Linked DNA regions of Xenopus tropicalis. The protein of the gene in region 1 interacts with the protein of each later gene in a pairwise test. Links are inferred from orthologs where the notes say so. Each region holds a gene or a part of one and is shown on either strand. Other genes may lie near its edges.

Region 1 (4,177 bases):
AAGTTTTCTTATCCTTTAAAGAATATCCTGGCTATAAAATACATTTTTCTCACATACTTACAGTCAGATTATAATAAAAGCTACTATTGCACGTTTCCATCTGAGAATAGCCCCTGCCTCAGTAGAGCTTCTAATTTAACCTCACTGGCCAAAGAACCCAGTTATACCTTGAGCATTCTTTCCCAGGCCTCTTCCTTGCACATAACCCATCTTCTGAAGAAGTTTCTGGCCGATTCCCTTGGTATGCCGCTCCCAAGAACCAAAATCTGTGTTTGACTTTATTCCTCCAGCAAATGTCCTCTGTGATGGTTTGAAATTACCACCCTGTAAAATACACAAACTGAAACTGACTGAAGCTTTGGAATGAAACAATGAATATAGTGTGTCTTTCTTACAATAATAGTTCTCTCTCTTATAAATGGATGGTTCGTCCTTAAGTTAATTTTAAGTAGGTTATAGAAGAGCAAGTTCGTAGCAACTTTTCAATTGGTCCTCATTTTTTTTAAAGAGGGTCACTGACCCCGGCAGCAAGAAACTATTGCTCTGTGAGGCTACAATTACGCTGTTATTACTTTTTTTTTTTTTTTTTTAAACTTATCTTTCTATTCAGACCCACTCCTGCTATTATTCCAGTCTCTCATTTGAACCACTGACTGGTTGCTAGGTTATGTTGGTTCATAGCAACCATATAACTGTTAGAATTCCAAACTGGAAAAGTGCTGAATATAAAGCTAAATAATAATAAAAAAAAAAAGAAGACCAACTGCAAATTGTTTTAGAATAGCAACCAAAAGTTGGTTTAAAGAAGAACACCCCTTTTAACCCTGTCAGACTATTACTATTGGGAAGTACAAACACTCCTTAGACTCATCCTACCGTCCTTAGCTTCTTTGCCTCAAAATCCTTTGGGAAAGTTTCCCTCCTTGCTTGCGTTTCACTGTCGGAATCGCTATCAGATTTTTCTTCTGCAGCAGGCTTACGGATCCCAGCGCTGATAAAATTGACAGGGGCCGAGTAGTCTCGAGACCTATGAAGAAATAAAATGAAAGGTGTCCGTATTGGGTGGTGCTGTATCATTAACTGCACGCAAGAAGGTGACTATTACTATTGAGTGACCCCTCCTACCAATCTAAAGACCCACCAACCTTTTCCCCCCAAAGCTTGGCCTCTCATCATCAGAGTCCCGCTCTGCCCACATCCCATAGGTCGCCTCCTCTTTTGTTTGGAAATGCTTTCTGCGGTTGGGGTTAAACTCATTCTGTAGGTCCCAGTCCGTGATCTCAAAGTTCTCCATTTCCACTCCATCGCTGTCCTCATCTTTGCCATAAAGGTGCGACATAGACATGGTGCCTGAGAGAGGGAAACAATATTTAACAATATATAAGTTGTTGTGTTTTATAGAATGGCCAATTCTAAGCAACTTTTCAATTGGTCTGCATTATTTATTTGTTATAGTTTATTAAATATTTGCCTTCTCCTTCCAACTTTTTAGGGCTCTGGCACACGGGGAGATTAGTCGCCCGCGACAAAACTCCCTGTTCGCGGGCGACTAATCTCCCCGAGTCACCGGTGGGATGGCACACGCGGCAGCACGATTTCGGGAAATCGACGAAAAAGCCTTGCGAGGCAACTTCAGTGATTTCCCGAAATCGCGCCGCTGCGTGTGCCATCCCACCGGCGACTTACATTGTCGCCGGTGGGATGGCAACTGGCGGCAACTCGGGGAGATTAGTCGCCCGCGAACAGGGAGTTTTGTTGCGGGCGACTAATCTCCCTGTGTGCCAGAGCCCTTAAATGGGGGTCAGTGACCCTGGCAGCCAGAAATCTATCGCTCTGTGAGGCTACAGTTTTATTGTTACTTTTTGTAACTTTAATTTTCTATTAAGGCCTTCTCCTATTCATATACCAGTCTCTTGTCCAAACCACTCCCTGGCTGCTAAAGTAACTTGGCCCTAGCAACCAAATAGCTGGTGAAACTCCAAACTGGAGAACTTCTGAACTGAAAATAAAATAACTAAAACACTACAAATAAAAAAATGAAGACCAATTGCAAATTGTCTCAGAATATCACTCTCTACATCAAACTAAAAGATAACTCAAAGGTGCCCAACCCCTTTATGGCTATACAGGGTTGTGCCTTGGGGCCCCCCAAAACATTCCATGTCCTTTTCCTTGGATTTAGGTAAAAAAAAAAAAAGACAAGTGATAGAAATAACCTTGAACAGTATATGTCCAGTCGGCTGCGTTCCCCCTCCTGATTGGCCAGAATGGCTCAGTAGCCACAGCCAACCAGAGAAGTACTACTACTTACAGTGACCCATAAGGGGTTAAAGAGGGCCATGCTGAAGTGAGTGATGGGAGAGGAATGGGGCATGGAGTGAGTAAATGGCATGCTATGGAACTGGATGCATTACCCAGATACAATGCAGCAATCAATGTAACAGCATTTAGTAAGGGACAATAATCACAGGTCAGGATTTAAACTACAACTCCCATAATCCCCTCAAACAGTTATGGGGAAGAAACTAATAGCGCAGCCATTGACACCAGACAGGTACACATGGCCATTCCGCTCCTGTGCGGGAACCAGACACCCCGTATTCACTGAGCAGCCCCGGCTTAGTTATACCAAACACAAACAAGTGGGGCTAAATGCTAAAATAAGCTTCCATGAGGCGTCATAGTTACCGATATTCCAGTTCCAGGTACCTGAGCCCCGGGTTCCACAGGCTGCAGTAATGTACGCGGCACACTTCCGGTCACGCCTACACAATGACGCGTACGGGACGCGACACCGGAAGTAGGGTTCTACAAGCGTGGGGTTGTGTCAGAATCAGACTGGCAGGATTGGAATAGGGGCTACGGGCTAGGGGCTTGGTTGCTAGGGGCTTGGTTGCTAGGGGCTTGGTTGCTAGGGGCTAGTTTAATATGCAAGCAAGTGGGGTTCTGCAAGCTTGGGGTTGTGTAATAATCAGACGGGCAGGATTGGAATGCTAGGTGCTTGGTTACTAGGGGCTAGGGGGTTTGGTTACTAGGGGCTAGGGGCTTGGTTACTAGGGGCTAGGGGCTTGGTTACTAGGGGCTAGGGGCTTGGTTACTGGGGGCTTGGTTGCTAGGGGCTTGGTTACTAGGGGCTAGTTTAATAAGCAAGCAAGTGGGGTTCCGTAAGCTTGGGGTTGTGTAATAATCAGACGGGCAGGATTGGAATGCTAGGGGCTAGGTGCTTGGTTACTAGGGGCTAGGGGCTTGGTTACTAGGGGCTTGGTTACTAGGGGCTAGTTAAATAAGCAAGCAAGTGGGGTTCTGCAAGCTTGGGGTTGTGTAATAATCAGACGGGCAGGATTGGAATGCTAGGGGCTTGGTTACTAGGGGCTAGGGGGCTTGGTTACTAGGGGCTTGGTTGCTAGGGGCTTGGTTACTAGGGGCTTGGTTACTAGGGGCTTGGTTACTAGGGGCTAGTTTAATAAGCAAGCAAGTGGGGTTCTGCAAGCTTGGGGTTGTGTAATAATCAGACGGGCAGGATTGGAATGCTAGGGGCTAGGTGCTTGGTTACTAGGGGCTAGGGGGTTTGGTTACTAGGGGCTTGGTTACTGGGGGCTTGGTTACTAGGGGCTAATTTAATAAGCAAGCAAGTGGGGTTCTGCAAGCTTGGGGTTGTGTAATAATCAGACGGGCAGGATTGGAATGCTAGGGGCTAGGTGCTTGGTTACTAGGGGCTAGGGGGTTTGGTTACTAGGGGCTTGGTTACTAGGGGCTTGGTTACTGGGGGCTTGGTTACTAGGGGCTAGTTTAATAAGCAAGCAAGTGGGGTTCTGCAAGCTTGGGGTTGTGTAATAATCAGACGGGCAGGATTGGAATGCTAGGGGCTAGGTGCTTGGTTACTAGGGGCTAGGGGGTTTGGTTACTAGGGGCTAGGGGGGTTGGTTACTAGGGGCTAGGGACTTGGTTGCTAGGGGCTTGGTTACTAGGGGCTAGTTTAATAAGCAAGCAAGTGGGGTTCTGCAAGCTTGGGGTTGTGTAATAATCAGACGGGCAGGATTGGAATGCTAGGGGCTAGGGGCTTGGTTACTAGGGGCTAGGGGCTTGGTTACTAGGGGCTAGTTTAATATGCAAGCAAGTGGGGTTCTGCAAGCTTGGGGTTGTGTAATAATCAGATGGGCAGGATTGGAATGCTAGG
Region 2 (3,433 bases), on another chromosome or scaffold:
CAGCCACTGGCCCTGGAGATTTGGGGAAAGGTTTTGGAAATGTTTCAATATTGCTTTAAGAATACAACCCCTGATGTTACTGGACTACAGCTCACCCTTCATTATATGTTAAATTGTTCTGGGATTTGTAGTCCAGGAACAACTGAGTAAAGTTTGGTTGAGCAGTGCTGCAGGCTTTAGTGTACCTTTAAACCAGGGGTCCCCAACCTTTTTTACTCATAAGCCACAGTCAAACGTAAAAAGACTTGGAGAGCAACACAAGCACCATAAAAGTTCATGGAGGAGCCAAATAAGTGCTGTGATTGGCTATTAGGCAGCCTCTATGCACACTATCAGCTTACAGGAGGCTTTATTTGGTAGTAAATCTTGTTTTTATTCAACAAAAACTTGACAACAAGTCAGGAATTCAAAAATAACTACCTGGTTTGGGGGCACTGAGAGCAACATCCACGGGGTTGGGGAGCAACATGGTTGGAGATCACTGCTTTAAACCCTCCCATCATCCACAGTTTAGGAACAAAAAAGAAGTGGAACCCTTGTGCCACTGCCATTGTTTCTTATTTGAACTCCTTCCTTCCTAAAATGGTGCAGGAGTAGGAAGTCTTGTCCCAAATCAGCCCTTGTTTTGTCCATTAATTGCAAACAATCTGGTTTCCACAGTCTGCACATCAGACGCTTATTCCTGCCCCGGCACTGTGGATATAAAAAAAGAAAAATCAATTCACAGCCTACAATTAAGTGCTTGGTAAGTATGAATGGTGCCTACAGTAGCTCTTAGTTCTCTTGTTTGCACAAATATACTAGCATTCTCCCATGCCATGAAAAAAATCCTAAAAACTCAAGATTAGTTTTGGTTTATTTCATCCATTTTAATTCTTCTAAATTAGCCCTTGTTTTAAACTGTTTCTACATTTCTCCCATCCCTAGTTTCCCCTCTTTCCTTTCTGGTCAAATTGAGAAAATTATTTTATTTGTTCCCTGGCCCAAGCTAAAACTAAACAAAGCAAAAAAAAATGTTTTTTTTAAATGAAAATCATAAAGACTGGGAACGCAGTGACTTTTCCCTGTCAGAAGTAGGCGCTACAAGCAAAGACAATTACAATAGCAAGCGGACTCAAGTGACATGCCACAACCAACAGCTTATCCTTATGTGACACGGACGTACTCCCGCCCCCAAAGGTTCGTACGTACCACGCCCCCGCGCTTACGTTATGCGGCGTGACGCAACGATCTCGCGAGATGAGATTTGTGACGTCTGGATTTGTGTCCGGAAGGAATCACGGAGTTGAAAGTTAAAGCAGGATTATTTGGTGGAATTGTGACAGGACAGTTGCCATGAATATCCTGCCTAAGAAGAGCTGGCATGTGCGTAATAAGGATAACGTGGCCCGCGTTAGGAAGGACGAGGCACAGGCTGCGGAAGAGGAGCGAGTGCGTAGGAAACGGGTGGAACTCGCAGAACAAGAGGTGAGAGTAGCGCTGCAGTGAAACTATAGACCCCGGCTCTAAAGGCACACTAGGCCTTATATACTACAGAGGCAAAAATGTGCATGTTGCACACAGAGAGCGATTGCGCCTGTTTCTTGCATCAAGCTCACATTGCGCATATCTCTGTAAAGGCGCGGAATGGTATACCGTTTGACACTGGCCTTGTGGTCAAATGTTCTCCATGGGGCAGTGGTTCAACTGTAATACTCTTGGCATCTCCAGTAGATCTACATTATTCTTTGGTACTCAGTCATGGAGACACTGCTGCCAGAGGGTGCCAGGTACATTAGACGGAAGGTGTCTTGGTTGCACATGTGTGTTTGCCGTTTCAGGCTCGGACAGATTTCCTGCGTAAGAAGGCTCGTCTCTCCTTGCCAGAAGAGTACAGGAGTGATGGGACTTCCTCGGTGGAACTCACCAAGGATTCTGGCCACATCAACTTTTTTCAAGAAGTGGAGGAGGGCAAAGGAACAAACAAAGGCAACAAAGAATATGAAGAGGAGAAACGTAAAGAAAAGGTCTGTTATTTTACTTTACTGCAGGAGAGGCTGTGTGTTTTGACAACTTTTCCCTTACTGTATTTTAAATTATTTGTATTTAACTTGATTTCTTAGGTGGGTTTTGCTTTGTTTTTTATGGATAATTTACACAGGAGCGGCAAGAAAAAACCCTGGGCATTCTTACATATTTAGGACAAAGTGCTGCAGAAGCCCAAACCAGTCGCCCATGGTACCAGGAAGTCCCTGGTCGCCACTGTAAGGCCGAAGATGGCAACGCAAAGGATGAAAAGGTGAAAAACCTGTTAGATCCTTTACATGACATGGAGAAATACTTGCAGAAGAAATCTGGAGAAAAGAAGAAATTTAAAGAAGAAAAGCAAAACAAACATAAATCCAGGCAAGAAAGCAGGTAGGTTAGACAAAATTGGAATTTGCTGCTAGTCTACAGGTATTCCTGCTGCTTTAATTAGAAGCCCATGGATCCCAGTGCTCAATTAAATCCACTGCCTTTGTCTCTCTAGTTCTTTTGTTCTGTGCTGAATGAGCTAACTCACAATGTAAATATTTGGCAGAAGTAGTAATGTAGGCAATGTCTCCAGCCTCTAGAAAGTTTGGTCTTGGTAGGAGTGTGCTGCATGATTTAGAGTGATTTGTTTCTTTGTCTTGTAGACCCACCAAGCCATCAATAGAGCAACTAAGGCAGGAACGTCTCAAGAGAGAGGCAGCAGAGAGAGCTCGGGCTGAAGCCTTGCTATCAGGGAGAAAGGAGTCTGCAGAACCAGAACAAGAAATGGATGACCGAACACGCCGTTACAATTCTCAGTTCAACCCACAGCTGGCACGAAAACCTAAAATGCGAGAAGAGCCACAGCGGTGATGTTAAAGAAACTAATGGCAATATTTCTACATCTCATAGCTCTGATAATAAAATGTATATATTTCCAAGTTGCTGTAGAATGTCCTAATGCACTTGGGTTAATGGACCACAAGCCCCTACAAAATGCCAGACGTCTGCACTGAGTAGCAGGACAGGAGAGGATTACCCATTTTTAAACCACACAGGTGTGATAGAAAGTAAATTCTACATAGGTTGTACAGCAGTGCTTACATACACCAAGGCTTTTTCTTGGTTGCAATTATATAAAACTGGATTCCTGTAATTGGTGCTCTACTTTATACCAGGCAGAAAAATCATTCTAGAACAGGAGTTTTCCTTATGCCTGTTTCTACATGAGATTAAAGAAAATGTTGTTTGATACAAGGAAGATTAATCATGAAACAAAAGCACTGGGGAAAAACATGAAGTGTCAGGTTATTGCCAAAACAGTCACATAATTTGGATTGTGAACTACACAGGGATAGAGAGGTCTGGCATGTTTAGTGATTACTGTCTTTTCAACAATGAAATCTCTCAAACATAAGTATACATTTTCAGAAATATGCTT
Region 3 (4,109 bases), about 100 Mb from region 1:
CCAGAAAGCTCCAAATTACGGAAAGTCCAACTCCCATAGACTCAATTTTAATCAAATAATTCAGAATTTTAAAACTGATTTCCTTTTTTTCTGTAATAATAAAACAGTACCTTGTACTTGATCCCAACTAAGATATAAATAATTCTTATTGGATGCAAAACAAGCCTATTGGGTTTAAAAAATGTTTTCTTGATTTTTTAGTAGACTTAACGAACTGCATACAAGTCCCTTCACCTGGTTTCTCATACCCCCTTCCTCTTTTAGATCATAAGCTCTATTGAGCAGGTATCTCTTTACTTCTCATATTGGTTATATATTTTTTGTTTTATGTAATCTATGGGGCACATTTACTTATCCACGAATGCTCTGAGCGTTCGTTCAATTGTATTTTCCGCAACTTTTTCGTACCTTGCGCGACTTTTTCGTACCTTGCGCGACTATTTTCTATATTTAGCGCGAAAAAATCAGATCAGTTTGCCCGCTGTTTACAATCGTTCGGTACGAAAATTTTGTGACTTTCAGATCGCCAATACGTTATTATCGTGACAAATACGATTTTTTCGTAAGCATTTTCGTGATATTTGCGATCTTCAGAAATTTGCGTTTCCAATCTGAATTTTTCCCATTCGGGATTCGAAACTCGTCTTTTGATAAATCTGCCCCTATATGTTAGATGTATGCACACCCTTCCACAGGGCCAAACTGGAATGTGCAGGGCCCACCAGGGCTGCCACTTCAGGGGCCCACCACTCCCTCTAGGGGCCCCTGCCATCCTCCCAAACCCCCCCCCCCACTATGCAGGTATACCTCATAGCAACCTTGCTGCAATAGGGGGTCTGGGTTAGCAGGGCTCACTGGGTTTTTTTCCAGTCTGATCCTGCCCTTCTATTATACAGCAATGCAGAATATGCTGGTGCTATATAAATAAGTATTAATAACAATAAAAGTGTTTCAGTATATTGCCACATATTTATTTATATGCTTGTAGGGCAGCAGCACTATGACCAGTCATTGTTAGTTCATAGTATCTGTTTACTGATAGTTTCACTCTATCATCTGTAGTCACTGAAAATGTGGCAATAAATGCAGTTATATAGTTAAAATCTGTAAAAAATTTAGCATGCACGTCTAGGTTTGTCATATACTGTTAGGTGCTCAAAACAGTACATATATTACAACAGTGTACTTGGAAATGATGTTGAAAGATATTAACCACCCCTTGTCATTAACAGCTGGGAAATAGTAACGGTATGAGATATGGTACAGCGTATACAGTAACTCCATCAAGCCTCAGCAATACGCATGCGCTCAGCTGTCCAAGGAGGCCCCGCCCTCTACCCGTGACCTCACAGAGCTTTCCGGTACCGATCCCTGCTTCTGCCTCACAGAGGGGAACAAGCGGTACCCCGGGCCCGCAGCATAAACGTATCTTTCCGCCCTGCTTCTCTCCTTCGCCTTTGTAACTCACGCGAAATGGTTCGCAAGTTAAAGTATCACGAGCAGAAGCTGCTGAAAAAGGTAGACTTTATTAACTGGGAGGTGGATAATAACATCCATGAAGTCAAAGTGCTGCGAAAATACCATTTGGATAAGCGAGAAGACTATACTAAGTAAGTGTCGCCTAACTATGTCAAAGCGAAATCATTACAGCTATGTTTCATTCCGATATGTTGTTTACAGAATGGCGATTAGAGTGTATAAATACCTCTCGTACACGTGTGAAACGGGCGCAGCCATGACACTTTCACCATGACAACAATATGGCCTACTTCCGGGAACGCAGAGGCTCTTGTTAACAGCTGAACTCAGTCTTGTTATGTTTATTAAACATGCTGACCGAAACACATGACAAATCAGAGACACTTTTTAAAATGTAATTAGCAAGGCTGGTCTAATGGCAATCAGTGTTTAAATACAAGAATAGATTGAAGATCCTTCAAGGATAGAAAATTGCTTTTTGTATTAGAAGGGTTCCTTATTTTTCTAATAGTAACATATTTATATAGTAATATCAGTGTGATGGTGCCTTAGATTGAAACACTGCTGATGAAATATATTGATGGGGTGATTAATTCTGTTGCTGTACAGTGGTATATTGCATTGCTTACAGAGGCTGAAAATGTTGACTTTCACTGAAATCTCAGTGGTCCCAGATGCATACTGTTGTGTGACATGTGTTTACATTACTTAATATCTTATATCAGGGGTCCCCAACATTGTTACCTGTGAGCCACATTCAGGTGTAAAAAGTGAAACCCAAGCATGACAAATTTACCTGGGCATACCAAATAAGGGCTGTGATTGGTTATTTGGTTGCTCCTATGTGAACTGGCAGCCTACAGGTGGATTTTATGGAGACCAAAACTTACTCCAAGCCTTGAGTTAAAAAAAATAAGAACCTCCTTTAAGGCCCTGGGAGCTTCTTCAATCAAGGGTTGGTGAGCAACATGTTGTTCTTGAGCTACTGGTTGGGGACCACTGCCTTATATGATGCATGATCCCTATTATTCATTTGCTTCCACAAGTAGGTTTGCCACTTGACCAGTAAAAATAATGCTTGATGCCAAAAGCCCAGTAAATGTCCTTTGTGTCATTAGGCTTTAGGGCTATAGCATGGGGCAAGTTGGTATTTAATACACACTGCCCAGCAGAATGGCACTTGCCATTCTTTCAACATATTGATATGCACACTTTTTTGACAGTTTGAGCAATGCTACGTGTATAGCTTGAGGTGAGGCATGTGAACACCTTCTGTTTTCAGAAGACATTTCTCCACATTTCTTTATTTAGAGGACCTTTTGGCCCTTCTAACCCTAACCTTGCTTTCCAAGTTTTATCCTATCAGAAACCATATTCCAGTATTTTGTGCTAATGAGATCTTAGATGATGGAAAATATCAAGAGCATGTAGTACTTTTCAGGCAAGAGACTAGAAGTGTTAACCTCATCCCTTAAATAGTGGGTTTATATGAAATGTACTTGCTGCAAGCTTGATTAGTAATCAAATAATGCATGAATGCTTAAAAGAGTGTTGTCTTCTGTATGCATTTCTATGCAATGTCACCATGTTTATTTATGAACAAGGTTTGCATCAAACTTTAACAAAGAAACATGCTCATAACTGTTCCTTTATATTTCCTTTATTGCAGTGCCTATTTTGTGTTGGCTATAGGGGTCTAATAGTTCACTTATTCTTGCTATTCATTTGTCCTGTAGGTACAACAAACTCAGTAGAAATATCCGAGAACTTGCCCAAAAAATTAGAGACCTGGATGAAAAAGATAAATTTCGTGTCCAAAGTACTGCAAAGCTCCTAGAGAAACTGTAAGTATGAAATGAAGTTTTATTAGCCCCAATGGATAGGCTGCAAATTTAAATATATCCTTTATATACATTTATAGGTATTTATTTTCCATTGTGTGGGTGCTGCCAGCACTCTACATCTTGTCGCGTCATTTTTATTAAATAGGTATATGAAGTATAGATTTTGAACCATACATATTTTGAATTTGCACTTGCATTTAGCTCTTGAACAACGGTTTGGAGTGTATTGACCACTTTTTTATGCAGGCCAAATGCCTACAGAATGATTTAGGCAGTCGGATGACCGTAAGCACCTATAAGGTATAATAAGCAGCCCCACCTCTGTTGCTCCTTGGGCAGTCAGATCTGTATTTGGCTTGCTGCTCTAGGTCAAAAATACAGCACTTTTTCAAAACGGGTAAGGAAAATGTGCAAGGGTGGGAAAGCCATCTTCAAATATTAAGTTTTAGTTCACCTTTATTCTTGGTGTGCCCCCCATAAACTTGTATTCTGTAGGAAGATAAGCCAAACTTCCACATGGTTTTACCTCTTATTTGATGTTCTCTCTTTTTGAAAAACATGTTGTAATTGGAATTGTTTATTCTTATTAAGGACAGACTTCACTCAAGGACAGGCAAGACATAATTAAACAAAAGATAATTAAATAATTAAGACATTTATTCGGATTGTGCATTGAACTTTTTTTTGGTTTGTGTGTTGCAATACTGGCCAACACAACTCTTTGGGAACACAACCTGATGGTAGGTATGGCTTGGGTGTAAGAGTTCCCTTATCTGGCATTTGTTA
Region 4 (3,500 bases), on another chromosome or scaffold:
AACCAGAAGTACTCTGGGGAAGCCAAATTGTCCAGGTATATATGTTTCCTTGTGACCACTGAGAGTGGTCTTATGTGGTCATGGAAATCCTCAGTCACATCATTGCATCTGCAGAAAGGTTTGCTAGCAGAGCTGTAGAACCATCTCACTTAATGCTTGTTTGGGCCATCATCCTGAACAGAGGGAACTATGTTCTATATTTAGCCATATGTGCTGGCCATACATGTAAAGAGCACAAGGTCACCAATGGAGCGGACCTGTTCCCAATATGCCCACCCCTGTGATTGCCCAGATTGCACCATTGAAGGCGCCCAAGCAAAATTTTCAGGACTGAATTGGCAGGTGGAGGTAGAATTTCTATTGTTTTTACCTCCATATCTGACAATTCAGCCCTGAACGTCAGTGGAGGGTAGGAACGATCGTTATTGCTACGTGTATGGCTGCTGAATTGGTCTGGAGTGGCTGACTGGGGTCTGTTGTTAATATAAGGCCTATGTGTATGGCCACCTTAAGGGTGAAGACACACAGAGCTACCAGTAGCAGCTACTTGTCAAGGCTACAAAAAAAGACAATGCTGATAATTTACTGATAATTGTCTCTTTGTGTGTTTTAGCAGAGGCAATTCTCAGTATTGTCTATGGCAGGGGATTTTCCAGCATTTAGTAGCCGTGACAAGTAGCTGCTACTAATTAGCTCCGTGTGTCTTCACCCTAACTGTAATGCCTAGAGCCACATAATATCTCTCATCATTTACTTTGTTCCATAATAGAGGGCAGCAGGATCTGGAAGAGCTGCAGAGTCACCTCCAGAAAGAAGAGAAAAGGTGTGAGAAAACCAAAGAGGAACTAGAACAAATGTCCAAAATTCTGAATGAGACCAAAGCTGGAGTGGAACATCTAGCAAGCAAAGTCAAGCACATCAAGGTGGTGAGTACTAGGTTGATGCAATACAGGAAATGTATTCAGTGCTGATTGGCTGCCATCCTACAGTGTACATTGCTGAGAGCTGCAGGTTTTCCTGAACAGCCTGGGAAAGCGGCCAACAGAAAGTGGAATGGCTGACTGGTGCCAGGGGAAATTTTTAGGGATGCATTGAGCTCCCGGTTTATTCCAGAATTCTCGGCACTCTTTGCATATTCCAGGACCCAAACTCTTTAGCCAGAGTCAGAACCTTTTAGACTCACATGACCTTACAGCTGTGGACTACTGACAATTTTTTTCACAACCTATGAATTTTTTTAAAGTTTTCCAAATCGGAGGCTGGTTAGCCTCCTTGCAGACCTGGACTGGGATTTAAAATAGGACCTGGTATTTTAAGTTCAGTTAGGCCCAAACCAGCCCGATAAATAGTGAGTGTCTATGGCACCTTAGAGCAGCCCCTCTGGCATTTGCCTGAACCCACAGATTGCCAGTCTGGGCCTGATTTTCAGTACACAGAGGCCCAAACAGCCCCCCATAGGCCCAATAAATAGTGACTGTCTATGGCATCTTACAGCAGCCCCTCTGGCATTTGCCTGAACCCACAGATTGCCAGTCTGGGCCTGATTTTCAGTACACAGAGGCCCAAACAGCCCCCCATAGGCCCAATGAATAGTGACTGTCTATGGCATCTTACAGCAGCCCCTCTGGCATTTGCCTGAACCCACAGATTGCCAGTCTGGGCCTGATTTTCAGTACACAGAGGCCCAAACAGCCCCCCATAGGCCCAATAAATAGTGAGTGTCTATGGCACCTTACAGCAGCCCCTCTGGCATTTGCCTGAACCCACAGATTGGCAGTCTGGGCCTGCTTCCTTGGTAGTGCTAAATTCCTGGAGACAGCCTGTACTAAAAGTCAAAGTTAGTTTTAGGCCCAAGAGCATCCTCGGAGCAGATTCCCAGGACTCTCGTGGGGAGCTGGGTATCATTCTTGGCTGCACAGTACAACCATATTATGATTAATCTCTTCACCATTTTAGCCAAAGGTCTATTTTCCTGCTCTGGATGGTTCTCCATTGTCAGATGAGCAAGTCCTTGACCTAATGGGCATCACTGAGGAGAAGTTGCAGAAGCTTCTGGAAGAGCTGGAGGGGCAGGATCTGGGACAGATTATCAAACAAATGGATGAAGAAGAGGTGAGTAAAAGAGAAAGTAATGGTTCTGAAGCGCACAGCCCACTGGGCCTGTGTTTTTTGCACCTTGCATGAGTAATGCGCCCTATGTGTAGGTAAGGAATGAACATTACTCCTATTGATTTTGGTGATTTCTAATGGCTTTGTGCATCATGAAGGGGGAGAGTACCATGGCTGGTACTTAACTGTTTGATGCTGGGAGTGCGCCTAAAGGGGCATAGATTTGCATTCATTTATGCGCTATATTATAATCCCAATATTCTCAGTTCCAGGCAAGCATTGAGGGCAAACTGCCAGCGCACAACATACGAATTTCCCTTCCAGCTCCATCCAAGCAGGACATGTTTGAAGGTAAGTGTTCCTGGCACTAACTTTAGCAATACAAAACCATTACAAAGCACATGGTTGGGTAGCTGGGAGGGGTAGTAGCGAACCAATTTAAAAAAAAAAAAAGCAGTCTGTACAAAATGTTCTTGATATCCATGTGTGTGTTTCTTTCACTGATTCGGTTATACCATGTGTGCAAGAGGGTGAACAGACATTTACTTTCACTTTTTAGGGCTGATTTGATAGTAATTGAGAATAAATGGGCAGAGGGTTCGGCATAGGTATATGGGTAGGAATTGCTGCATGGTTGGATTAGTGTAGGATTGGAACAGGCAGTGAGAAGTCTGATAGCTACAGGTATAGGGGATCTGGAAGACTGACACATAGCTGGTACAAGAGACCGGAAATCTGATAGTGGCAGAACTGGTACAGGGGACAGGGAGGCTGATAGCTGCATGGTTGGTACAGGGAACAGGGAGGCTGATAGCTGCATGGCTGTTACATGGAACAGGGAGGCTGATAGCTGTATTGTTGGTACAGGGGACAGGGAGGCTGATAGCTGCATGGTTCGTACAGGGAACAGGGAGGCTGATAGCTGCATGGTTGGTACATGGAACAGGGAGGCTGATAGCTGCATGGTTGGTACAGGGGACAGGGAGGCTGATAGCTGCATGGCTGGTACAGGGGACATGGAGGCTGATAGCTGCATGGTTGGTACAGGGGACAGGGAGGCTGATAGCTGCATGGTTGGTACAAAGGGCAGGGAGGCTGATAGCTGCATGGTTGGTACATGGAACAGGGAGGCTGATAGCTGCATGGTTGGTACAGGGGACAGGGAGGCTGATAGCTGCATGGCTGGTACAGGGGACAGGGAGGCTGATAGCTGCATGGTTGGTACAGGGGACAGGGAGGCCGATAGCTGTATGGTTGGTACAGGGGACAGGGAGGCTGATAGCTGCATGGTTGGTACAGAGGACAGGGAGGCTGATAGCTGCATGGCTGGTACATGGAACAGGGAGGCTGATAGCTGCATGGTTGGTACAGGGGACAGGGAGGCTGATAGC
Region 5 (4,064 bases), on another chromosome or scaffold:
GGAGGAGGGGGTTATTCTTCCCCTTTACAGAGCGCTGGTAAGGCCCCATCTAGAATATGCCATTCAGTTATGGTCTCCAGTGCACAAACAGGACATTATTGAATTAGAGAGGGTACAGAGAAAGGCAACTAAGCTGGTAAAGGGTATGGAAAGTCTCAGTTATGAAGAAAGACTGGCCAAGTTTAGGTTGTTTACACTGGAGAAGAGGCGCTTAAAGAGTGATATGATAACTATATATAAATTTATAAAGGGGTCATATAATAATCTATCTAATGCTTTATTTACCAGTAGGTCCATGCAACTGACACAAGGGCACCCACCCTGTTTAGAAGAAAGGTGATTCCATCTAAATATTCAGAAAATATTTTTTTACTGTGAGAGCTGTGTAGTTGTGTAATTCCCTTCTTGAATAAGTCATACTGGCTTATACATTATATAGCTTCACGAAGGGTTTGGATGGCTTTTTAGCAAGTGAGGAAAAACAGGGTTATGGGAGATAGCTCTTAGTACAAATTAATCCAGGGACAGGTCCGATTGCCATCTTGGAGTCAGGAAGGATTTTTTCTCCCCTCTGCAGGAAATTAGAGAGGTTTCAGATGTTTTTTTTTTCCTTTTTCTGGATCTCCCAGTTAGTCAGGTTATATATAGGCATTAAGGTTGAAATTAATGGACGTGTGTCTTTTTTCAACTTAACTTACTATATTACTATTTTGTACTCTTACCCGCTAATATTTTCTCCAGCAGTCTGAAAACCAAACATTTTTGTGTTTACTTCAGACACAACTCTATGACATATATCATGGAAAAGGACTCTCCAGCACAAGTCTTATTGTCATTTACAGGGTAACCCTTTTGAAATAAAAAATAACAAAAGTGGTATAAAGGTGATACCTTTATTGGCTAACTAAGATAACCATAGCAAGCTTTCAGAACGTTCTAGTTCCTTTTTCAAGCTGATAATCAGGAACTAGAATGTTCTGAAAGCTTGCTATGGTTATCTTAGTTAGCCAATAAAGGTATCACCTTTATTTCACTTTTGTTATTTTTTATTTCAAAAGGGTTACCCTATAAACATTTTTTGACTGGCTAACACGGTACATCACCTTTTCCTGTCATAAGAAACGACGTCAAAATGATACTGTTCCATAATTGTGGTCCTTGCCAGTTCTTTCAGAGATTACACTAGGTGGCGCTTCACACGCAGCCTCTAGGAAAGCTACAGAATGGCCAGTATCCAGCAGCAGCGCCAGGGGGGGAGGAGTTATGCAAACATAGTAGTGCGGATTTCACCCCAGCTCAAGAGACAAACTGTGGTTTAGTTGTACTTCCTTAAGTGCGGGGACGGGATTGTCATTGTGCTGTTTCCCTGGGGATCTCTCATATTCCGGTATGTATGAAACATCTGTATTCTTTCTCTTTTGTGTTTCCTTGTTCCAAGGAGTGTGTTCAGTTCTACAGAAAGCGCCTTACTGACAGTTTGTGTATTGGGACTTTCAAGGGCAGTTCCTTACCTCGCACAGGTAAGGCAGAATTAACAAACACATCCCAGATAATTTGCGGTTGCTGTGCGCTTTGCACTTCTTCCTGCATAAGATTTGCTGTTGCCACTTTGCGCTTTCGGTACGTTTTCCTTGGTGGTGGCGCTATATTTGTGGCACCATTGCGCTGGAGTTGTTGGAAGAAGTCGATAAAAATGGATTTGAAATGTGAAAGCGTTTTAGTTGCCTTGCACAAAACGCTTCCAAAAGCAAGTTGAGGAAGCAGAGCTATTGTTTTTCTGGGGGGTTAAACATTTCTATTGTATAATATAGTGAGCCAATGCGCGCAGTGCTAGGCGCTGTTACAGGCACCCCACCCATCCCTTCCACAAATACTTTAGTAACTGCTGGGAGCTCGGCCGGGTTTGTTTTAGGGAAAGACCAGTTGTGAAAGTATACAGCAATATCATTATGCACACTGTTGAGAAAATAGCATCATTCTAAAACAATTAACACATCTTTTATTCCATTGTGAGTCACAGTCATGTGGCAAACCGGCATGTAACATTGAAGGCGTTAAAACCGGTAATTATGCACGTGTTAATGAGCCTGATTCTCCCCTAATTGCCACTTGTCATGTGACCAGCTGTTTCATACCTGGCTTGGTGCATCGCATAAAAGTAGCCCTATGATTAAAAAAACAAACAAACAAAGCATATACAGTATATGCATTGGCTTACAACAATCAGCGCTTTAAAGCCATGTTAATAATGCCGTTTACATGTTTATTTAAAAGTTTTGTGGCTTTCTGCAACATTTGTATACCTTTAGCAACTTTCTCAGGGTTATTTTATGAAATGGATACATAAGATGTGTTTGTGCTTCCCTGTAAAGGTAGAAGCCATATCAAGGTCATCCAGCCCAGTGGAAGCATTGGCAAGCTTCTGCACTTGTGCAGATACAGTCCCAGCATTCCACTGTCAGATTTGTTACATCAAAATAGTTTAGGCTGTGCATGAATGATGCCATCATTATGTCAGGAGCTTGGTGATGGAATTCATTAGGAATGTTAAATGTGTAGGGAACTGCTATTGACAATCCTGTTGGATTCTGTCACCTGTTGATTGCTTTGTTGATTTTAGCAAGCCATTGCAGAAAAAAAAAACTGGTAATTCCACTTGACAAGTGGACACACAGAGCTACAAGTAGCAGCTACTTGTCATGGCTACTCAGGGGGGTTTTTGGCCCCTGGGCCACCCGAGCACCACCGGTGCCGCCCCCCCCCCCCTTGGAACCCCATGCTTACCTTCACAGCACCGAATGGGGTCCAGGGGGGCCGCATCGCTAGTGTGGAAAGTGCAATTGTGCGCTCTGCACTGGCATAGCCGAATTTCCAGTTTAAAACTCAGAAATTCGGCTCTTAAAGTTACCAGGAGCAGCTTTTTGCTGCCCCTGATAACTTTGGGGGCACTGCCGCCTGAGGCAAGTTTCTCAACCCGCCTTATGGTAGCAGCGTGTCCTGCGGCTACTAAACACCAGAAAATACCCAGTCATAGACAATACTGAGAATTGCCTCCGCTGAAACACATGTAGAGACGCTTATTGGTGGATGATAGGTATTGTCTATTTCTGTAACTGTGACAAGTAGCTGCAACTAGTAGCTCTGTGTGTCTACACCCTTAAAGTAACTTTAAACTAAAAATGCAAAGTTTTGCAACTTGCCAGTATACCATAATTACACACTTTTGGTTGTTTTAAGATTACTTATGAATGTATGTGCTATTGAAAGCAGCATCTTTCTGCCCCTTTGTAGTCTCTTCTGTTTCTGACTACATGTACAACTGAAATAATATTCCCTATCACACAGTGAACAGCATGTTCAAAGAATTGTGGGAAATGAAGCCACAGCTTGAAGAGGGCTATACTGTTTCAATTGTCAGAAGCAGCAGTGAAGAGAACAGCAAGAGGCAGACACTTTATTCAATAACATTTACAATACACTTGAAAAACAGCAAATTTGCAATTAATATATAATGGAACATCATTTTTCTTTAATTACACAACATTTTAATGGTTTAAAAACCCCTTTAATGTAATGTGGGAAGCTGACTGAATGTAGGGCACCACCTGGAAATGCCCCCTAGTCTCGGTCTCGGTCAGCCATAGGCAGAGGTATTCCTAGTCAGTGTGAAGACGTGACAGCCAGGGTAGGGCCTATGCCTAATCTTGCAGTGCTTTGTTCCTATTTCGAACAAGGTATTGACTTTTTTATTGAACTATAACAAGTCAGATGTTAGCATTCTAACAGGTAAACAGTTGACCAGCTGTTCTGCATTTCTGGGTCTGGTACAAACTTTCCTCTACAACTTCGCAGTTTAAGGAGTATGACATTTTCCCCCAAAACAACACTGTTTTAAACAATACAGTGTTCTACATACTATTTTCATTTACAAATACACATTTCGATTGCAAATCCTTTTCAAATACTACACCTGTATTTTACATAGTCCCCATTCATGCTGTAATAAAGAAAGAAAAAAAAAGAGCAGGCTATTATATGAAATATTTCTCTTCCAGTAGCAGTAG
Region 6 (4,199 bases), on another chromosome or scaffold:
TAGCATGCAGGAACTACATACCCCACAATGCATTGCACTGCAATGTTCTATTCCTTATTGACAACCCGTGTGCACGGGATTGTGGGATTTGGAGGATGCAGGCTGAGAGCAGTCAGCTACTGTTACATTTTCTTTTAGACTTATAGTCAGCCAGACCAGCAGGAGAACAGGGGGCTAGGCTTAGGTAACTGTTCCAAACCATATTATTACATTAAAAATTATGAAAAGGCTGCATATTTTTAATTGTTGTAATTGTTAATTGCTATAATGTTGCTTGAAATTATGTTTACTTTTCAAAGAGCTTAATCTGTGCTTGGGTTGATTTCCCCTTTAATATCTGGGGAGTGAAAAACTGTAAAATGCCAAACTGCAAGTGTTTGTGTATATGCTGTGTGTGCATCAAGCAAAGCAATACAATAAATGACAAAAGCAGATGTTACCAGACCATTGGGCAAAATCTTTTAGGCTCCCTCCCACACTTTGGAAAAGATAATCTGTGCCATACACACATGCCGAGATTGCACATCTATTATTGATCGCAGCTATTATTTGCAGCTTATTTCTTCAACTAGAGGGCACTCTCTCCTCTGGCTCAATCAAACTGCTTAAAGGGGCAGTATACACCTGTGTTAAAAAATAAACCACAGGCACTTTATAGTTACAATATATACACAGGCCGAGGCAGTGCCAGTCAGTACAGTTATAGCAAGGAGCGTATGGGAGTCAATGCTCTTCGTGTGCTATTAGCCTTAAATGAAACACTGTTCATTTTATATTAATATGAGCCCAACAAGTGCTAACCCATATAGGATTCCTAAATATTTTTATGATACAGGTATAGGACCCCTTATCCAGAATGTGCGGGACCAAGGGTATTCCAGATAAGAGGTCTTTCTGTAATTTCAATCTCCATACCTTAAGTCTACTAAAAAAAAACAATAAAACATTAATTAAACCCAATAGGATTGTTTTGCATACAATAAGGATTATTTATATCTTTTATTACTACAGAGAAAAAGGAAATCAGTTTTAAAATTATTTGATTAAAATGGAGTCTATGGGAGACATGCTTTTTCGTAATTCAAAGCTTTCTGTATAATGGGTTTCCGGATAAGGGATCCCACACCTGTAGTATATTATCAATAAGTGCTTGAAAGACTTACCATACAATTGCAAATATATATAGATAGATAGATATATGTATATATATATGTGTGTGTGTGTGTGTGTATGTGCTAATTTAATGCACATGTGAGGACAGAAAAATATTCCATAGGGTGATTGCTGTTCCTCTCCCTTTTCCTTTTATTGAAGTTGGATAATCCCCCCCTCCTCCCCAGCCCCCTGCCCAATACAATATGATCAGGGCCAGACGGTGGGGTCTGGTTTCTAAAAGAAAACGTCCACCACATGCTTGGGACAGCCCCACTACAAAGGGCATTTGAAAAAGCCATTTGTCTGTCACTCCAATCATAACCTCCGACGCCTCTCACGCTGACAAGGGCTCCAGGTAAGTGAGCTGGAACATCATGCTTAGTATTAGGGAAAAGGCAAGGCACATATATATAGAACTGATTAACTGAATCACTCATCCCATATTTTTATTTAGCATGTCTTAGTCTGTCAATATAATTAGTTTTTCTGTGCAGAGAATTATTTTTGTATATTGTGATTTTTGCATTTCTCTTTCTGGCTACATTTGGTTTGAGCTCACTGTAACACTATGAACAAAAGGAGAATGTTCCAGAGCCTATATGTTCCTTTCAAGCCTTTTACTCCCCTAAAGAGCCAGCCTTTTTATTCCCAGCATACTGCATGATTATGCTTATATATGTACTATTCCTGCCAAGGAGAATACTCTTGGACATTGACAATTGACAACTGCAGTTTTAAAAAATAATTTAGCAGCTTTAGGGGTTTTTTTTGCCCAAACCCATCCCTACTGTCTCCCATTCACTGTTATATAAACCACCTTATAGCACTATTACTACTTCTTTCCGTTTTCCAATTTAAAGGGACACGCAACCCCTTTGTTTAACACTGGCTCAGTGAATAGAGATTGTGCTGAACATACCTGCTGGACTGCTGATCTGTTTGACTCTGCGGACCAGAAAGTAGAACGTGACTGGAGTGCTATTGATTAAAAAGCTAAATAATTAAAAAAAACACAAAATCTGAAAAATGAAGACCAATTGCAAACTGTCTCATTATGCCTCATACTAAAAGTTAAAAGGCTAACTACCTCTGTAATTGGGTTTGTTTTACATTAATTTTAGTCATTATTCTTCATCACTTACATTTCTCTTTATATTTTGTGGATTACTCCTCCTTACTTTACTTACTGTAATGTACTGTTGCCCTGCACTGGTAAAACTTGTGTGTTTGCTTTAGAAACCCTAATATAGTTTCTATAAATCAGCTGCTGTGTAACCATGGGGGCAGCTATTTTAGCTGAAAAAAAGGATAACACACAGGTTACATAGTAGATAACAGATAAACACTGTAACATACAATTGGAATCTACACAGCTTATTGGTTTTCTGCTATGTAACCTGTGCCTTTTCTCCTTTTAAAGGTTGAATAGCTGCCCCCATGGCTACACAGCAGTTTTGTTTATATTAAAGGAACAGTAACACCAAAAAATTCAAGTGTATAAAAGAAATTCCAATATAATGTGCTGCTGCCCTGCACTGGTACAACTGGTGTGTTTGCCTCAGAAACACTACTATGGTTTATATAAAGAATGCAGCTGTGTAGCCATGGGGGCAGCCATTCAAAGGAGAAAAGGCACAGGCACATAGCAGATAACAGATAAAACACTATTGTATTCTACAGAGCTTATCCGTTATCTGCTATGTAACCTGTGCCTCTTCTCCTTTTTTCCAGCTTGAATGGCTGCCCCCGGGGCTACACAGCAGCTCATTATATATAACCTATAGTAGAGTTACTGTAGCAAACACACAACTTTTACCAGTGTAAGCCAACAGTACATTATATTTAATTTACTTTAAAACTCTTTCATTTTTTGGTGTTACTGTTCCTTTAACTATAGTAGGATTTCTGTAGCAAATGCACAACTTTTACTAGTACAGGGAAACAGTACATAATATATGAATTACTTGCACAGCTGTTGTTTGGGAGTTGCTAATAGGAGGAACTGCCCTGGGCATTGCAGAGCATTAGTTAGATATAGGATGTTGGTGGGGTAACAGGGTAATACCGCAACAGTAGAGCCACATGGTGATAATAGAGCAAGATAGACACTGTATTTCAGTATTGCCAAACCTGCAACCCTTAAGTTGATGCAGAAGTACACATCTCACTGTTCAATGATGGCAAAGGTGATTCAGAGGGTTGTAGTTTAACAGCAACTGCTTTTGTATGAAGTCATTGTGTGAACTGATGCCATTTATTATAGGTACAGGTATGGGACCTATTATACAGAATGCTTGGGACCTGGGGTTTTCCGGATAAGGGGTCTTTCCGTAATTTGGATCGCCTACCTTAAGTCTGCCAAAAAAAATATTTAAACAGTAATTAAACCCAATAGGATTGTTTTGGCTCCAATAAGGATTAATTATATCTTAGTTGGGATCAAGTACAAGGTTCTGTTTTATTATTACAGAAAATTATTTTTAAAAAATTTGAATTATTTAATTTAAATGGAGTCTATGGGAGATGGCCTTTCCGTAATTCAGAACTCTCTGGATAATGGGCTTCTGGATAAGGAGTCAGATTCCTGGACTTGCATCTATACTTCTACTAGTGCGCTGTTCCCACCTCCTGTGCCAAATCACATGCAAGTGTGTGTATTGAGGCAGGGGATCCCTGGAGCTACAACCACCTCCAAGTTTCAGAGTTCCCACTGTGGGTAAAAATTAGAACTGCTATACCCTCACATTCATCTGTGCAAACTGAAAATAAACCTTACTTCTAAATCTGATATATTCTCCTTTCAATACTCACACAAATATGCACAGTGCGTCTCTGCCAGGACTGAGTTCACTGAAGCCCTTAAGCATCTTGCATTAATGATCTAGTTGCAACCATCTTTAATTGTGGAGGGGCCCAGGTTTTATATACAGTAATGTTGGATTGTCCAACTTTTGGCCCTTCAGCACAACTCACAGCACTGCTGACAGCCACAGCACTGATATAAAATGGTACGTGCTGATTCCATCTTGTTCCTGCTACGCACC
Region 7 (3,500 bases), on another chromosome or scaffold:
TTACTCTGCACGATTCATTAAGTACAACCTGATCTTTTAAGCTTAAACGTGGTTGGGAAAGGCCACTAGTCAATATGGCACTCTTACAATTAATATTGGTAGTGTATTTTACAGCTGCAGAAATGAAGTGCTCACACCAACCTACTGTACTGATTTTCTGTCAGGCCAGGTTATATTAAAATGATATCGAAGAAATCTAGGCAGCCTCTGAGCAGGCTGTAGGCCCAAGCCCCCAGCCAGGCCTGTATATGTACAAATTCATTGTGGTTCCTTAAAGGAGAAGGAAAGGCTAGTAAAGAGTTAATCTCAAGCCGCAGGCATACCTTCAGTTGTCTCAATGGTGCCCTTAAGTCTCCCCATATTTCACCTGTTCAGATGATCAGAAGCCAAACAGGAAGAAAAAATGCTGAGCTGTGTAAAGAAAGTTCCCATAATGCCTCACTCCTCACTCCTTCACCGAGACCAAGTGTACATGCTCAGTTAGATTATGAGGAAGCTTCCTGCTGATTGGCTCAGATCCACATTCCTTGGGGGGGGGGTGAGCTCTTAGCATTCTTGAGGGAGGGGGAAGCAGGAGAGAGGAGAAAGCAGAGAGCTGCATGTCTCTGGCACATGAATTACAGACACAAGAAGTCAGTGCAGCGTTTCTGTGAGTGCTTATGGCTGCATTTACATAGACCTTTCTGATAAAGCTTACTGAGTTTTTACCTTTCCTTCTCCTTTAAAGTCTGACACCAATAAATTTGATTAAATTTCCTTTTAACCCTCGGAATATTGTACATTCACCTTTGAAGGTCCCAGCTGCTTTTACATGCCATACGCTTATCACATTCATTTGTGTTCTATTTATTTTATCTCCAGAATTTATTTATTTTTTAATATAGAATTTTTCCCACTAGTTTGAGCTCATTTCTCATTTGTGTTTTTTGTCTCATTTGTTTCCATCAGCAAATGCCCAGCACACCAGGGTTTGTGGGATACAATCCATACAGCCATCTTGCCTACAACAACTACAGGCTGGGAGGGAACGCAGGCAGCAACAGCAGGGTAACGGTAGGAGAATGAACAGATACGTCACTCTTGGCGTTTCTGCACAGCTAAAGCTGGTGTTTGGGGGGGTGATATTTAACCCAGTAGTGGCTATTTGTGCCTAAAAAATGAATGCATTGCATTTATCCATGTTTGCACAGTATTTTCACTTTGTAGATTATACTAACATAAGATTGTTCTGAAGTTAAAGGTTATGTTGCCTAGGGGCTGTAAATAATCATATTGCATGAATGTTTATTACATTTAAACTTAAGGTCTATGCATTGAATGCCATTGCCCTTCACTCCAGCCCCAGCTAATTGCTGTACTGGTTTGTAAAGGAGCTGGTTACCTCTGATTAGCTGTGCATTTTAGTTTTTGGCTTTCTGGCAGGGTTAATTCCTGCTGTGCCTTAAGGGCACCTACAAATAATTTTGTGAGCCATATTTACTGGGGTTGGTGATTTACATGCTGTTCACAAGCCTTAAGTTTTAGGCTAATGCCAGACGAGGCGTAGGGCGGATATTTTCTGCAAGCGGAAAAACGATTTCCGAAAATTCTGCCCTACGCCTCCTACATGTGCCTGCACCCGAATGAATGGAATACACTCAGGTGCAGGAAATACACATAAAAACGCAAGAGTTTGAAAGTCTCGTGTTTTTATTCATATTTCGGCTACATGTGCCTGCACCCGAGCGTATTCCATTCATTCGGGTGCAGGCACATGTAGGAGGAGTAGTGTGGTATTTTCGGCAAGTGCTTTTCTGCTTGCCGAAAATATCTGCCCTGCGCCTCGTCTGGCATTAGCCTTACTCAGTAGGGCAATACTTACATAGGCATTTTATAGCTGGTAGCCAGCACTTCATGTTAAGGGCCACCTTCTTACCTATATTTCACCAAATTTGGAGCATGCTAGTAAGTCTGGTAATGTGTGCACTTTCCGTAGTGCCATCATGTTTGGGCACATTGTCATTATTTTGGGGGATATAGAGAATTACCCTGCATGCACACTGGCAGAGTTTCAAACAAATTGACTATGCTAGCCTCTAAATTTGCCATTATCCTATGAGTCGGTTCAACTGGTTTTTGCTTCTGGCCATTAATAGGATCCGCAATGCAACCTTGAGGCTACAGGCCTTGATTTATATGTACAGAATTATGTTATGAAGAATCAAAGGGGTCTCTGCATCCTACCATAATTACTATCTGCACAGTTCAGCCTCTGACAAGCCATCTGTTTATTTTCAGTGAAAGACATGTATTTATATAGCGCCGGCAAGCTACATAGCTCTGTACATTAATTAAGATCTAAATCTGGAGTGTGAAAGTTTTACTCATTTTGTATATTTTTTTTTTTTTTTTTGGATTTTAATCCAGGACATTTGCGCTGTGAAGCATCAGTGCTAATGGTGTGGGGTTTTTTTCCGTAAAAGGCCTGTGACAGACGGGGAGATTAGTCACCGTGGGACAAATCTCCCTGAAATGCCATCCCACCGGCTAGGGGTGGGATGGCAAACGCGGTGCCGAAATCGGCAAAGTTTCCTATCAAGGCAATTTTGGCAAAACGCCATGCCGCATTACCCATGCCACCGGCGATTTACATTCTAGCTGGTGGGATGGCATTTCAGGGAGATTAGTCACCCGCGACAAGGGAGATTTGTTGCACGGCGACTGATCTCCCCGTCTGTTACAGGACTATTTACCGTTTCATTAGACATGATTCAGGCTTTTATTTTTAAAAGAAAAAAGCGCACAACAGTTATATGAACTTTAGACAGACATACCTGATTCCACAGATTGAAAAGGAACCATGATAGTCTGTCTCAGTGCTCTTTAAGACCAATAGCCCCCTCAGTGTGTAAATACCTCCCTCACCATGTTCCATTATGAAGTGATGAATTCTGAGACTTGAGTCCCTCTACTTCCTAGAGATATTTCTTCATCACCCACTATAAAAGCTACATAAAGTCCCAGAATCTCATCACTTTACAGTAGAAGGTAAGGGGGGGGGTTGTATTACACTGTGAGCCTATGGAAGATTGGGAAATTCTTCATTAGAGAAACATGGATTCCTTTTAGGAATAATGTGGCCATTAGACTGCTATACATTTACTGTAGGTATCTATCAGTTCAGCTATGGGGCAGGTTTGAACATTTCATCTGGGAGTGGCAGTGGTCGACACATGTATGGCCACGTTAAGACTATTTCTTTAATTCTGCATTATATGTATTATTTACATTGTGCAAGAAGCTCTCAAGTTGTATTGTATGACTTGTATTTTTTGGTTTGGAAGCTAAAGGGGATCCAGTTATGGATTTCTCTAGCAAAGGCAATGCTGTTGCCGTATATTTACTGCGGTGTTTTGTCCGTGACATGAATTATTCAAATTGCATTGTGGGAATTGTGGAATTTTACAGGAGAGTCTGAGAAAATAGATCCCCCATGATTGAAAGGCAACACCACTGTTTAT

Evidence for each region.
Region 2: the proteins of tfip11 (region 1) and leng1 interact in binary tests that used the Homo sapiens proteins (3 or more experiments, as listed by UniProt). The link is inferred for Xenopus tropicalis from reciprocal best matches to the Homo sapiens genes TFIP11 and LENG1.
Region 3: the proteins of tfip11 (region 1) and imp3 interact in binary tests that used the Homo sapiens proteins (3 or more experiments, as listed by UniProt). The two-hybrid records come from large-scale screens. The link is inferred for Xenopus tropicalis from reciprocal best matches to the Homo sapiens genes TFIP11 and IMP3.
Region 4: the proteins of tfip11 (region 1) and ccdc151 interact in binary tests that used the Homo sapiens proteins (3 or more experiments, as listed by UniProt). The two-hybrid records come from large-scale screens. The link is inferred for Xenopus tropicalis from reciprocal best matches to the Homo sapiens genes TFIP11 and ODAD3.
Region 5: the proteins of tfip11 (region 1) and sh2d4a interact in binary tests that used the Homo sapiens proteins (3 or more experiments, as listed by UniProt). The two-hybrid records come from large-scale screens. The link is inferred for Xenopus tropicalis from reciprocal best matches to the Homo sapiens genes TFIP11 and SH2D4A.
Region 6: the proteins of tfip11 (region 1) and tnnt1 interact in binary tests that used the Homo sapiens proteins (3 or more experiments, as listed by UniProt). The two-hybrid records come from large-scale screens. The link is inferred for Xenopus tropicalis from reciprocal best matches to the Homo sapiens genes TFIP11 and TNNT1.
Region 7: the proteins of tfip11 (region 1) and smarce1 interact in binary tests that used the Homo sapiens proteins (3 or more experiments, as listed by UniProt). The two-hybrid records come from large-scale screens. The link is inferred for Xenopus tropicalis from reciprocal best matches to the Homo sapiens genes TFIP11 and SMARCE1.

What each region holds. Positions count from the first base shown.
Region 1 is NC_030680.2:15,107,828-15,112,004, reverse strand, and holds the start of tfip11 (tuftelin-interacting protein 11), read right to left. Parts: upstream 2,801-4,177; 5' UTR 2,689-2,800; intron 2,515-2,688; exon of another isoform or gene 2,217-2,514; intron 1,351-2,216; 5' UTR 1,346-1,350; coding exon 1,146-1,345; intron 1,028-1,145; coding exon 877-1,027; intron 325-876; coding exon 168-324; intron 1-167. UniProt on the Homo sapiens protein: Involved in pre-mRNA splicing, specifically in spliceosome disassembly during late-stage splicing events. Intron turnover seems to proceed through reactions in two lariat-intron associated complexes termed Intron Large (IL) and Intron Small (IS).
Region 2 is NC_030683.2:104,890,826-104,894,258, forward strand, and holds leng1 (leukocyte receptor cluster member 1), read left to right. Parts: upstream 1-1,302; 5' UTR 1,303-1,335; coding exon 1,336-1,467; intron 1,468-1,820; coding exon 1,821-2,006; intron 2,007-2,140; coding exon 2,141-2,397; intron 2,398-2,657; coding exon 2,658-2,865; 3' UTR 2,866-2,933; downstream 2,934-3,433.
Region 3 is NC_030680.2:118,013,675-118,017,783, forward strand, and holds the start of imp3 (U3 small nucleolar ribonucleoprotein protein IMP3), read left to right. Parts: upstream 1-1,309; 5' UTR 1,310-1,473; coding exon 1,474-1,610; intron 1,611-3,215; coding exon 3,216-3,323; intron 3,324-4,109. UniProt on the Homo sapiens protein: Component of the 60-80S U3 small nucleolar ribonucleoprotein (U3 snoRNP). Required for the early cleavages during pre-18S ribosomal RNA processing. Part of the small subunit (SSU) processome, first precursor of the small eukaryotic ribosomal subunit.
Region 4 is NC_030679.2:139,191,730-139,195,229, reverse strand, and holds part of ccdc151 (coiled-coil domain-containing protein 151), read left to right. Parts: coding exon 1-35; intron 36-769; coding exon 770-926; intron 927-1,956; coding exon 1,957-2,112; intron 2,113-2,375; coding exon 2,376-2,460; intron 2,461-3,500. UniProt on the Homo sapiens protein: Component of the outer dynein arm-docking complex (ODA-DC) that mediates outer dynein arms (ODA) binding onto the doublet microtubule. Involved in mediating assembly of both ODAs and their axonemal docking complex onto ciliary microtubules.
Region 5 is NC_030677.2:96,324,914-96,328,977, reverse strand, and holds the start of sh2d4a (SH2 domain-containing protein 4A), read left to right. Parts: upstream 1-1,264; 5' UTR 1,265-1,387; intron 1,388-1,437; exon of another isoform or gene 1,438-1,520; intron 1,521-4,064. UniProt on the Homo sapiens protein: Inhibits estrogen-induced cell proliferation by competing with PLCG for binding to ESR1, blocking the effect of estrogen on PLCG and repressing estrogen-induced proliferation. May play a role in T-cell development and function.
Region 6 is NC_030683.2:104,578,815-104,583,013, forward strand, and holds the start of tnnt1 (troponin T, slow skeletal muscle), read left to right. Parts: upstream 1-1,399; 5' UTR 1,400-1,510; intron 1,511-4,199. UniProt on the Homo sapiens protein: Troponin T is the tropomyosin-binding subunit of troponin, the thin filament regulatory complex which confers calcium-sensitivity to striated muscle actomyosin ATPase activity.
Region 7 is NC_030686.2:8,337,395-8,340,894, forward strand, and holds part of smarce1 (SWI/SNF-related matrix-associated actin-dependent regulator of chromatin subfamily E member 1), read left to right. Parts: intron 1-948; coding exon 949-1,053; intron 1,054-3,500. UniProt on the Homo sapiens protein: Involved in transcriptional activation and repression of select genes by chromatin remodeling (alteration of DNA-nucleosome topology).